Arabidopsis thaliana: one gene and its partner. The protein of the gene in region 1 purifies or fractionates together with the protein of each later gene. This does not show direct contact. Each region holds a gene or a part of one and is shown on either strand. Other genes may lie near its edges.

Region 1 (4,514 bases):
TGTTTCAAGTTTGGTCGGTTTTGTTTATGTCTTTTGTAGGTGGGGTATACAGAAAAATAAGAGAAAAAAAAACAAAGTCAAAGCTGACTTTGACGACAAATCGCTAACCTTCGAGAGATGATGATAACAAGCCTAATTAAAATACACGTTACGTCGCAATCAATTGCTTCAATCTCATTCTCATTGCATGTCATCCTTAGCCGCGGTTAGCCGACCATACTATCAACGATGTGCATACTATCAACAATGTATTTGTAATAATTAAGTAGAAAAATAAAGAATGTTCCACCGTCCAAAAGAAACACAAGTACGGTCCTGAGAGGGCTTGAGATATTTTGCTTAGTGATATATGTCAACATCTTAGTTAAGCCCCACCGGTTCTGATATAAAAGTGGGGAAAATATTTCATAACCACACAACAAATCTCTCTGTTTCTCCCGCTCTTGCTCTGTTTTCTCAAAGACAAAAGAGGACATCGTCGTTGACTCCTCTTCTCTATGGCTACTGCTAAGAACAAGGGAAAATCAATCAGGGTCCTTGGTACCAGTGAAGCAGAGAAAAAGGATGAGATGGAGTTGGAGGAGGAGTTCCAGTTTAGTAGCGGCAAGTATAAAGATTCGGGTCCTGGCTCGGACATGTGGTTAGGAGATGCTTCCTCTACGTCTCCAAGAAGTCTTAGGAAGACTAGAACCTTTGACCGACATAATCCCTATCTCGTATCTTCTTATGCTACTCCTCAGCCGCCAACAACAACTACATGCTCTGTCTCTTTTCCCTTTTACCTCCCTCCAGCGATTCAAAATCAACAACGATTTTTACACCCGAATGACCCTTCAGGACAAAGACAGCAACAAATGATCTCGTTTGATCCTCAACAACAGGTGCAACCATATGTTGCACAACAGCAGCAACAACAACAACATCTATTGCAGTACTGGAGAGACATTCTGAAGCTGAGTCCGAGCGGAAGAATGATGATGATGAACATGTTAAGACAAGAAAGCGATCTGCCACTGACGAGGCCACCGGTTCAACCCTTCAGCGCCACCAAGCTATATAGAGGTGTCAGGCAACGCCACTGGGGAAAATGGGTTGCCGAGATCCGTAAGCCACGAAACAGGACACGTCTCTGGCTAGGGACATTCGATACAGCAGAAGAAGCCGCCATGGCCTACGACCGCGAGGCCTTCAAGTTGAGGGGAGAGACCGCTAGGCTCAATTTCCCTGAACTTTTTCTCAATAAACAAGAGCCAACTCCCGTGCATCAGAAACAATGTGAGACGGGGACTACTAGTGAAGACTCAAGCAGAAGAGGAGAGGATGATTCGAGCACGGCATTGGCAGTAGGAGGGGTGAGTGAGGAGACGGGTTGGGCTGAGGCATGGTTCAATGCAATTCCAGAGGAATGGGGACCTGGAAGCCCTCTATGGGATGATTACCACTTTCCCATTTCTAACCATAAGGACGATCTTGACGCCACACAAAACTCTTCTTCTGATACAATTTAGGACCTTTGTTAGAATATAGATATGCTTAGTTGTATGACTGATCTAGCTTGTGTTTTTTTTTTGGGTGGAGACAGTTTTTGTCATCTTCCACATTTTAGATTCTATTTTCGACCATCATTTTTTTCTTGATCGGTGACTATGAATCTAATGGGGTCAATCATTTTCACATATAAAACTTAAGTATTTGGTGTTTGTACTTCATCAGTTCATCTTATTCCATAGAAAGAGAGTGAGAAGTGATCAATAACCCTTTTAACTGAAAAAAAGAAGAAGATCAAAACCTAAATAAGATTTAAGTACATATGTCTAATTCGACGTAAGACATTTTTGGAAACGATCAATGTACTAACGAGTTGAATTCTGATGAATCTTGAGCATGAATAAACGGACTTTGTAGTTTGTACAATTGATAATGAAACAGAGAGCAACATTATGTACATGTGATATATGCTGCATTTATTTATGGGCTTTTATTAGATGGACCGAGCTCTAGCAAAATCCAAAGTAAATGGGCCTAATCCTAACGTGGACAGACAAGGGACACGTGTCACACTACCGACATCTCGTGGAGTTGGATAAGCCACTCGAAAGTCGAAACTCAGAAGATCCAACCAGAGCCATCATCATCCTTCCAATGGCTATTACTTGAGAACTCTTCTGATTAAACATAGCAACAACAACAACTCTTCTTCTCCTCTCTTTCTCACTTCAATTTAGCGATGGCTGCAACTGCAATCTCTTCTCTTTCCTTCCCAGCTTTGGGTCAATCGGACAAGATCTCCAATTTCGCATCTTCTCGTCCTCTCGCCTCCGCAATTCGCATCTGCACAAAGTTTTCTCGCCTTTCTTTGAATTCGCGTTCCACTTCGAAATCTCTTATTCACTGCATGTCCAATGTTACCGCCGGTGACTCTTCTTGAACTTCACATTGCATTTCACAATTCATTCTCCTTTGTTTTGTATTGAAAAAGGCTCTGACTTTATCTGCATTCACTCTCTTGTGGTTTTGTTGGTCAGATGTGCCTCCTGTATCAGAGACAAAGTCGAAATTCCTAAAAGCTTACAAGCGACCCATCCCGAGTATCTACAACACGGTTTTGCAGGAGCTCATTGTCCAGCAGCATTTGATGAGGTATAAGAAGACTTATCGTTATGATCCTGTTTTTGCCCTTGGATTTGTCACTGTATATGATCAGCTCATGGAAGGATATCCGAGTGATCAAGACCGAGATGCCATTTTTAAGGCTTACATTGAAGCCTTGAATGAGGATCCTAAGCAATACCGGTTTGCTTCTTCCTGCTTCCATCTTCTCCTTGATAATGAATGTCTTCTTGTTGAATGTCTTTTTCTAAAGATGATAACTTTTTTTGTACAGAATTGATGCTCAGAAGATGGAGGAATGGGCACGAAGTCAGACTTCTGCTTCACTAGTTGACTTTTCCTCTAAAGAAGGAGATATTGAAGCAGTTCTTAAGGACATTGCAGGAAGAGCTGGTAGTAAGGAGGGGTTTAGTTACAGCAGGTTCTTCGCTGTTGGGCTCTTTCGTTTGCTTGAGCTTGCAAGTGCTACTGATCCAACTGTCTTGGACAAGGTGATTCTATTCGTCTTCGGTTTGCTAATCTATATTAACAGCTTAATCTTGTGTTTAGAGGAAGAAGAAATGTTGCTAGTTTTGTATCCATTATGTTCACTGGCAATGTGCAACTGTATTCTCTCTGACATCTCACGGTAATTTTGATCTTTGTGTCTCATGAAACAGCTTTGTGCATCCCTAAATATCAACAAGAAAAGCGTGGATCGGGACCTGGATGTGTATCGTAACCTGCTTTCAAAGCTTGTCCAAGCCAAGGAATTGCTTAAGGAGTATGTCGAGAGGTACTGATACTGAATCCCTATCTAAATAGACTAGGCACTGGTCTATTTTTGAATGAATATACGGTGCTTGCTGCACCATGAAACTTCTATATAGAGCCTAACTTGGATCTTTATACTTTTGGTTACTCAGGGAGAAGAAGAAGCAAGGAGAAAGAGCCCAATCTCAGAAGGCTAACGAAACAATCTCCAAGTGTCTGGGAGATACTCTATATAACCCATCTTTCTTGGTTGAACGGAAATCTTAGAAAATCATTTGTGACTTCTTTTTTTGTTTTCTTAGCAACAACTATGCCCAAGAACATATATATCTCATTTCTAAGAACATTTCAGACGTGTATATGTTTGCTTTTTTTCCTTTCAATTACATGAGTTTACATAATGTTGATTCATGTAGTATTTTATACATTGATGAGGTTACTGTTGTGCTGTTACTAGTATATGACAAGTTTCTTTAAGATTTAGGCACTGTCTTCAGAGCACATGTGACCAACCATGAACATTTGAATTTCTCCTCCTTGAAGCCCTTCCTTTTTTATTACTGTGTTCTCCCTATAAAAAAAAGGTCAGATTCTATGTTTAGGAGTTGCAACATCTGAAAGTTTCGCATTTGGCGTCTCTGCACTGTCCTGCTAACTGCTGCAGTACATGTGCGTTAAACGAGAATCTGTGTTGCTATAAATCCAGATACATTATCTCGGCCATTAAACGTGAACAACCAAACAAAAGCAAAGAAAAAAGATGGTTACCAATCTAAACCAGTTGCTGCTAGTTGGCTCCTTTATGAAAGAGTGAATAAAAAAATTGGAGTCCGGAGGAAGAATGCATAGAATCAACAATGAAAATGGTTAATTGTCTAACTAAGTTGAGAAATATCAACCTCATCAGGAATCTTGAAGGTATCCGCAGCACCAAACTTTCTAAATTCTTCGCCTTCAGCCACTGAGTCGTCTTCATTATCATCATAATCTTCTGCACCATCCTGATGGCGGGGTGTTGAAGGGTCAAACACACTTCTGGACCGGCAGTCATGAGTTGCAAGCATGTTCACTTGGCCAAGGTGTGAAATCTCTACCATCACAGTTTCATCATCCAGTGGCAGTGGCTGTTTCCAGGGCTCCCCATCCATCCT
Region 2 (7,048 bases), on another chromosome or scaffold:
TAGATAAAATACTACAGCATCTAACACATCTCTTACCTATACTGATCATAGTGACCGACTAACTTTCTGATATGACGTGTTTAATGGATGAAGTGATCACATTACTTTTCAAATGAATATTCTGAGACAAATTTGATATCTCATGCCAACTTCTTTATATTGGTTAAAGGAAAAATAATTGAAGTTTTGACTCTTTGGCAGGTGCACCAATCGCAGGATCAGCGGTGGAGCAAGTAGAGCAAGTGGTGGGATATGTGAGTTTGGGATACCCATTTGGCCTAATGGCCTCGATTCTCTTTGGGCGACACCACAAGGCCATTCTCTCATCCCCTAAACCCAAACTCTTCGTAATGGGAACACAAGACGGGTTCACTAGCGTTAGCCAGCTAAAGAAGAAGCTGAAATCTGCAGTCGGACGCACTGAAACACACCTCATTGAAGGCGTTAGTCATTTCCAGATGGAAGGACCTGAATATGATTCTCAGGTGACCGATATTATATGTAAATTTATTTCATCCCTGTAAAATACCACATGAAAAGATAGACCTTAGGGGATTATTACATCCTCGTCGAACTACGTTGGTGTATGTCCGGAAATTACTTGGATAAATCTTTACTAGCACGATAGGAGTTTGATGTCCCTGTACACTACGCACTAAAAGACTTGTTTTCATATGTTGAGTTATTATCACTCTATCGGACATTTCTTCAAGCTTTGCAATTGCATCGAGAAGAGTTTGCTCACGATCATGTGACATCCTAAGGAGACAAATCAGGTTCATACTAGGATGAAGAATAAAAATCCTAATCTTGGTTCTATTAATAATTTTAACTGGGAGTTTGGTAAAATGAAAATCATCTACATGAAAAGCATTCATACGCGACATCTCTCTCCATGCACAAACCACTCACAAAACAGTGAGTTACATAAGATGATATAAATTATCAAAATAGACAAGCATCATCTAGATGAATGTGCGACAAAGGCCGACAAAACACTTATCGAATCTAAAAAAGAAACAGGAAAATTTAGTTCCGCAGACCAACCCCAAAGTGAAACCTTCCCGCATGTTGATCGTTGAAGGCATATTCAAGGCGTAGCGGCCCCAACGGGGAATCAACACGCACCCCTAAACCATATCCATAACCGCTTCCGGGCTTCAGTCTTGCCCCCGCAGGATCACCTAAAGGGCAGAAAATAACAAAGATGAAGGTTCCCTGAGATTCTAAAGCTATTACAAGCATATATGGAAAGGCTCAGAAGGAGAAAAAAAAAACGAAAGCCTAGTCTGTACCTGGGACGGTGGATCCTGATCCCATATCAGTGCCATAATCTGTAAAAATGACGCCTTCGACCGGTCCTCTCTGCACAATAGGGTAAGAATGAGAGTCATGATTTTTACACCATTGTGAAATGAGATCTTAGGAATGTTCAAAGAAAAACCCACCACTGGGAAAGACAGCTCCCCTGAACCAACTACATATGACCGACCAGATCCTACAGCGCCCTCTTCGTAACCTCTTACGCTGTTTGTTCCACCGATGACGAATGCTTCATGAGGTGAAAATTTTCCCACCACATGTCCACCAGACAGACTATAAACATGAACAAGGTAAGATACACTATATAAAACTTTAGAAATGATGATTCGAATCCCAAAAGGTAAATAGAGACCTCAAGAAAATTATATGCCTCAAAGGAAGTTAGCATACCTAAAAAGGAAACGAGCTGGTCCAATGTGTATGCCTTTCCTGGCACGTCCAGTCACTCGATTGAAACATAACCATTCGGGCAAAACAGGAAGCCCTTGTTCCATGTTAAACGCAAACTGGTATAAAAATACAGATAGAATTAGGCACTGAAAAAAGAAGGGGAAGATGTACCAACAGAGGTATCAGACTGACCATCGTTGATCCTTGGTCACCTGAGCCAGTATAAATGCTTTCAAGTTTTGCTAGCATGGTCTCATCATGGGGCTTACCACTGCATGAGAAAACATTAATAATGGCATCTATCAAATTCATATGGCCAAATACAGCATTGGTGAAAACAGTGAGCAGAACCAAAGACAAATCATTCTTTGGGAATTGGGACATATATATACCTTGCAGTTAGAGGGCTACTGTAGAAGTCCTTAATGATAGGGTTTCCTTGTTCATCACGAGCACCAGCATGCTGAAACATGAAATTCAAAACGAAATTAAGGGTAACGTATATATTGGTCAAAAAGTAAAAAATTTACCAGTTTGGATCTAGTCAGAAACGACAAGAACATATATTTTAATTGCTTTAACACCAATATTACTCTGGATTGGTACAGAAACTTAGAAAATATTGGGAACAGTAGAGACCTGAAATATAAGTCCAGCAGTACCATTCCACTTTGGCCTGAATGGACGACTGTATTCAACACCTGCTGTAACCCGACCAATTGTGAGACTACTATTGTCTGGTTGATTGCCGTGAACAAGATTCCCCGGTGTTCTTGAATTCTAACTCAAGATGAAGTTCATTAGTTTATTAGTCATCTCAGCAATCTCATTGAGATAACCAGTAAAGGTGTTACCTGAACCATAATAGATCTGGACGTCCTCTTGTCATCTCCTTCAATCCATGGATCAGTGTAGTTTATACGAAATATAGAGTCAATTTGACCCCTCTCTAAGGAAACATTAAGCTTCTGGTTTCTTCCAAACAGATTGCGGTGGGAATAAGCGAAGCTGCATAAAATGATTACTTCAACTACATCAGTAATGTAATACACACAGCCTAGGCCAGAAATAAAAAAAAAATCATTACAAATAAAATATACATTACTTTTACCTTCCAATTAATCCTGATAGGGGGCCACTTGTGATCCTACAAAAGAATTGGACAAAAGTTGTCATCAAGCTACAAAAGAAAAAAATTGAATCGCTGTAAGTAGCAAACAAACTAAAACTTACCCACTAGATATCCCACCACCAGCAGAGAAGCCTCCACTGGGACGCTCGACACAGTTCATGATCAAATCAACCTTCCCACTATCTAACAGGAATAAAAAACAAGGAAAAGAAGAAAGTTTCAGAATCAGACACTGTCAAAACCTTTTGTTACTGTGCCTAAGGATAAGCAAGGAAAATACTTTCTTCACTCATACTACTGCACCTTAAGCACAAGATGAAAATTAAAAGTATTAGCTGAAAAGAAAGAAATATATTTACACACCTCCTGCAGGTTGAGGAATAATACTAACATCTTCCATGATTCCCATGGCTAGCACAGTGTCTACATCCCTCTTCCCTTGAAGCATGCTGTAGACCTAAATTGACCAAAAGCCAGATTAGACAAGATGTGTATGTAGAGGCCCTACTTAGACGCTCATGCATAAAGACTTTAAGGCCAAATTTTACGAAGAAACATACATGATACCATAAAGAGTGATTAACCTTAATTAAAAATAAGATCTCCAAAGGATTTCATACACAGATGATGCACTCAGAAGTGTTATTTAGCATAAAAATACAGCTCAGATAGTTTATGATGTTTTAGTCAGCGACTTATCTTTACATCTAAGCTGAGAAATGCCCAAAAAATACCTGTCCCTTCTTTGTTGTAAGTTGCCGTAGTATTGTCTCAGGGCTAGTCTTCCCTTTAGTTGGTTCCCCACTAAATATAGAAGGCACCATTATCAATGAAATCGTAATCTAATAGTTGAAATAAAAGGAAGCTACCAGTGCCATCCAGAATTGCCTACAATTTAAACCAATATAAACTACATTCATAAGGGAGGGATTGGCACCAGCTTACGTCTTACGATCAAGGAATCGGATGGATATGTTGTTAACCTCTGCTTCAGCAACCTGAAGCCTTACTATACCTCCAGAAAGCGTATCAATATCTGAAACCTACAATGGCAGACAACAGAATGATGATTCTAACCACAAAGTATAAGACTGAATCCAGGATGATTTTTTTTTTTGAAAAAGTAATTATGGTGTAAAAAGAGCACTTACAATTCCGAAAAGACCACGCTCCATGTACCATCCATTGATGGATGTAATAGCTTCTTCCAGTCTCTTAATATTAATCACTTTCCCTACACAGCTTGACACCAACATTTACTAACCATTACCCTCTCCAATCAAACACACACCGAACAGAAGGAATCCACCTAACTAGCCTCAATACATTAATATGTGTAAACTAAATGCAACTTCAAATTATGCTCTGTTTTGGAGCATGGATACATTTTGAGAATACTACCTACCTCTAATCTATCTTCTTCATTCAAGGCTAACACATTTTACACCATGTGTTAGAAAATTCTTAGCTTCATCATTAGTACTCGAAATATTTGTCAGGTTCCAATATCATTAATCCATTTTACTCCCAACGTAAATCAATGAATTGACAGATAAGTCTAGTACAGTACAGAAGAAAAAAAAACAAGCTAAATTGGAGGATACGTACCAAACCCATCTCGGAAAGCTTCATGTATGAACTTGGAAGGAAGAACATTTGCATTTTCACAGACTAACCCACGAAATTCTTGGTTTGGTTCTACCTTATGGCAAGAAAATGAGAATTATTTGCATCCCAGAAACATAAAAACGAGACCTTTCTCCTCCAACAAAAAGAGTAACAATCAAAATATTACCTGAAACATCAACCGAATCCCGTCTCGTGTATCAACAGCAACAGGAGTACAAGAGCAAAAGTACCCACTTTCTATAATCCTATGTACATCCTCCTGTACCTCACGAATAGTCAACGCTGAATTAGCTCTACAAGCTTTCAAAGCAGCCAATGCCTCCATTTCCAAATCCTTCCTCTCAAGTTCCTCACCATCTTTCGTTCTTACTAAAACCTCACTAATCAGAACTCGTTCCTCCGCATTTCGACTCACCGAGTGACCCTTCTGCTGCTGTACTGTATCCTTCCCTTCCACTGACTGAGTCGACTCGTTAGGTCTAGTTAGAGACAAAGAGGCACAACAGAGCAGAGGCGAGCTTAGTCCACGGATTGTCTCAACGTTCTCATCTCTTGATTCAGACCAATTGAATTGGGTGGATTGGATAAGAGACAATGAAATTGGAGAAGACTTCCCAATCATAAGCTGGGTTACTGAATTGAGCATCTGAGTCGGTAAATTGGGACGACGAACCGAACGTGGAGGAGGAGTGTGGCGATTCTTTAGCGACTGGAGCATTTGGTTTAGTGAGTTACGAGTATTTGAGAGGTGAGAGACGAAGGTTTTAGAGCAGGATTGGAGATTGGTGAGTAAAGAGTGTTGTTCTTTGGGAGATGGAGAATGGATTCTGATAGAAGATGAAGAGAAGCGAACATCATCGTTGTGACAATGCATTGTTAATCGTACTCGGGAGTGAAATTGAGGAAATGTCAAGGAAGAAGAAGAGCTTAAGAGATAAAATCTAAGAACAAAAAATAAGAGCTAGGGTTTTTTTTGATTCGGAGACTCGGAGTAGAAGATGATAGAGTGAAAAGGAGGTGATGTTAAAGCCCATTTACGAACAAACAAAAAACAAATTATTTTTTTGAATGTTTTATGTAAACATTCCTTTGAGTATATTATTAGGTTTTGTAAAATTACTGGATTTTCAAAAATGAAAATAAAATTGCGTCAAATAAATATTTTGGAAAATAATCAATTTCTCATTAAGGGGATTTCTCATTTATTTGACGGTAAATTAGTTTTTTGTAGGGTAAATTAGTTAACTAACGTTCAAAACATGTTAATCAAAATAAATAAATAGATTTTTGAGAAAAAAACGTTAGTTGATTTCTCCTATCCATTTTCTTGATTTTATTGATTAATAGATCACACACATGAACAAACAAGGATTATTGAATAGTTTTTCTGTGAATTTTTTTAGTAGTTATGGTCACAAACATGTAACAAAACCAATTATATTAATTTTGTCAATTTTAGACTTGTTAATTATAGAGAGTTTTGGCTCTTCTTAAGCAAGCCATAAACCCTTAAAACATTCATCTTATTAGGACCAGTACATAAATAAGTTATGGTCTGAATTTTAGTAAAATTTAAGCTGAGAGATATATTCTCTTGGAAACACTAGGACCAGTACATAAATAGAGTTATGGTCTGAATTTGGTAAAATTTAAGCTCCATTAACCTCTTAAGCGTCAGTTTTTCTCTACTGGTTAATTGAATAGTAGAGGAAAAAAACTTCAGCTATGCAAAGTCTGACTCAGATCAGTATGAAGAGGCCTAATCCTACAAAAATGGTTTCCACTCCAATCATCGTAGAGTTTGCTTCTACTTTAAAAGAAGAAGAAAAAAAAACCTTGAACACATACGTTTGATCCAAATAATGTATCCTTAAATCTGAATTTTTGCAGAACGTACATTAGTTTTCTATCTTAAGCCTTAAAGAAATTGACGGTAGCTGATGATGGAGTTTTCCTAGATGTGTGATGACAAATGGTTGAAACTCACCCATCACTGAGTCTCAGCCACTAAAACTTATATACTAAATATAGGATCAAACCAAGGCAAGGCAACACCGTACACATAAAGAATAAAAACGAAGAACAACAAAAAAAACAGTTGCTGAATGATTTTTCTTCTTTATCGGCAAGAAGAGTGTGATAAGGTGAGAAATGGATCGTATCGCCGTAAGAGCAAAGCGGAAAGAGCTAGGGATATCATGCATGCTTAACACGGAGGTTGGTGCAGTCCTTGCCGTCATTCGTAGACCCCTTTCAGAAAGTTACCTTTCTCCCCAAGAAACAGACCACTGTGATTCATCAGTCCAACAATCTCTCAAATCTCTTAGAGCTCTTATTTTCAATCCTCAACAAGATTGGCGCACCATAGATCCTTCGGTTTATCTTTCTCCTTTCCTCGAAGTTATTCAAAGCGATGAGATTCCGGCTAGCGCCACAGCTGTCGCTCTTTCCTCCATCTTAAAGATCCTTAAAATCGAGATCTTCGATGAGAAAACACCTGGTGCAAAAGATGCTATGAATTCTATTGTCTCCGGGATTACTAGTTGTCGTTTGGAGAAAACAGATTTGGTGTCT

The links.
Region 2: the proteins of PSB29 (region 1) and OEP80 fractionate together in Arabidopsis thaliana (co-fractionation; one study listed by BioGRID). This does not show direct contact.

What each region holds. Positions count from the first base shown.
Region 1 is NC_003071.7:8,985,556-8,990,069, forward strand, and holds PSB29 (photosystem II reaction center PSB29 protein), read left to right. Parts: upstream 1-2,028; 5' UTR 2,029-2,227; coding exon 2,228-2,414; intron 2,415-2,525; coding exon 2,526-2,793; intron 2,794-2,884; coding exon 2,885-3,101; exon of another isoform or gene 3,102-3,269; coding exon 3,270-3,385; intron 3,386-3,515; coding exon 3,516-3,630; 3' UTR 3,631-3,856; downstream 3,857-4,514. Other genes in the region: ERF53 (Integrase-type DNA-binding superfamily protein), read left to right, coding at 498-1,508; DGK5 (diacylglycerol kinase 5), read right to left, coding at 3,857-3,934, 4,263-4,514. UniProt on the Arabidopsis thaliana protein: Involved in a dynamic process of vesicle-mediated thylakoid membrane biogenesis. Required for the normal organization of vesicles into mature thylakoid stacks and ultimately for leaf development.
Region 2 is NC_003076.8:6,621,623-6,628,670, reverse strand, and holds OEP80 (outer envelope protein of 80 kDa), read right to left. Parts: upstream 5,475-7,048; 5' UTR 5,349-5,474; coding exon 4,641-5,348; intron 4,548-4,640; coding exon 4,454-4,547; intron 4,080-4,453; coding exon 3,997-4,079; intron 3,889-3,996; coding exon 3,791-3,888; intron 3,650-3,790; coding exon 3,580-3,649; intron 3,303-3,579; coding exon 3,209-3,302; intron 3,029-3,208; coding exon 2,947-3,028; intron 2,861-2,946; coding exon 2,825-2,860; intron 2,722-2,824; coding exon 2,568-2,721; intron 2,494-2,567; coding exon 2,353-2,493; intron 2,177-2,352; coding exon 2,106-2,176; intron 1,985-2,105; coding exon 1,906-1,984; intron 1,830-1,905; coding exon 1,714-1,829; intron 1,597-1,713; coding exon 1,449-1,596; intron 1,366-1,448; coding exon 1,296-1,365; intron 1,185-1,295; coding exon 1,030-1,184; 3' UTR 777-1,029; downstream 1-776. Other genes in the region: AT5G19630 (alpha/beta-Hydrolases superfamily protein), read left to right, coding at 202-524; GNL2 (GNOM-like 2), read left to right, coding at 6,626-7,048. UniProt on the Arabidopsis thaliana protein: Plays an essential role during early stages of plastid development.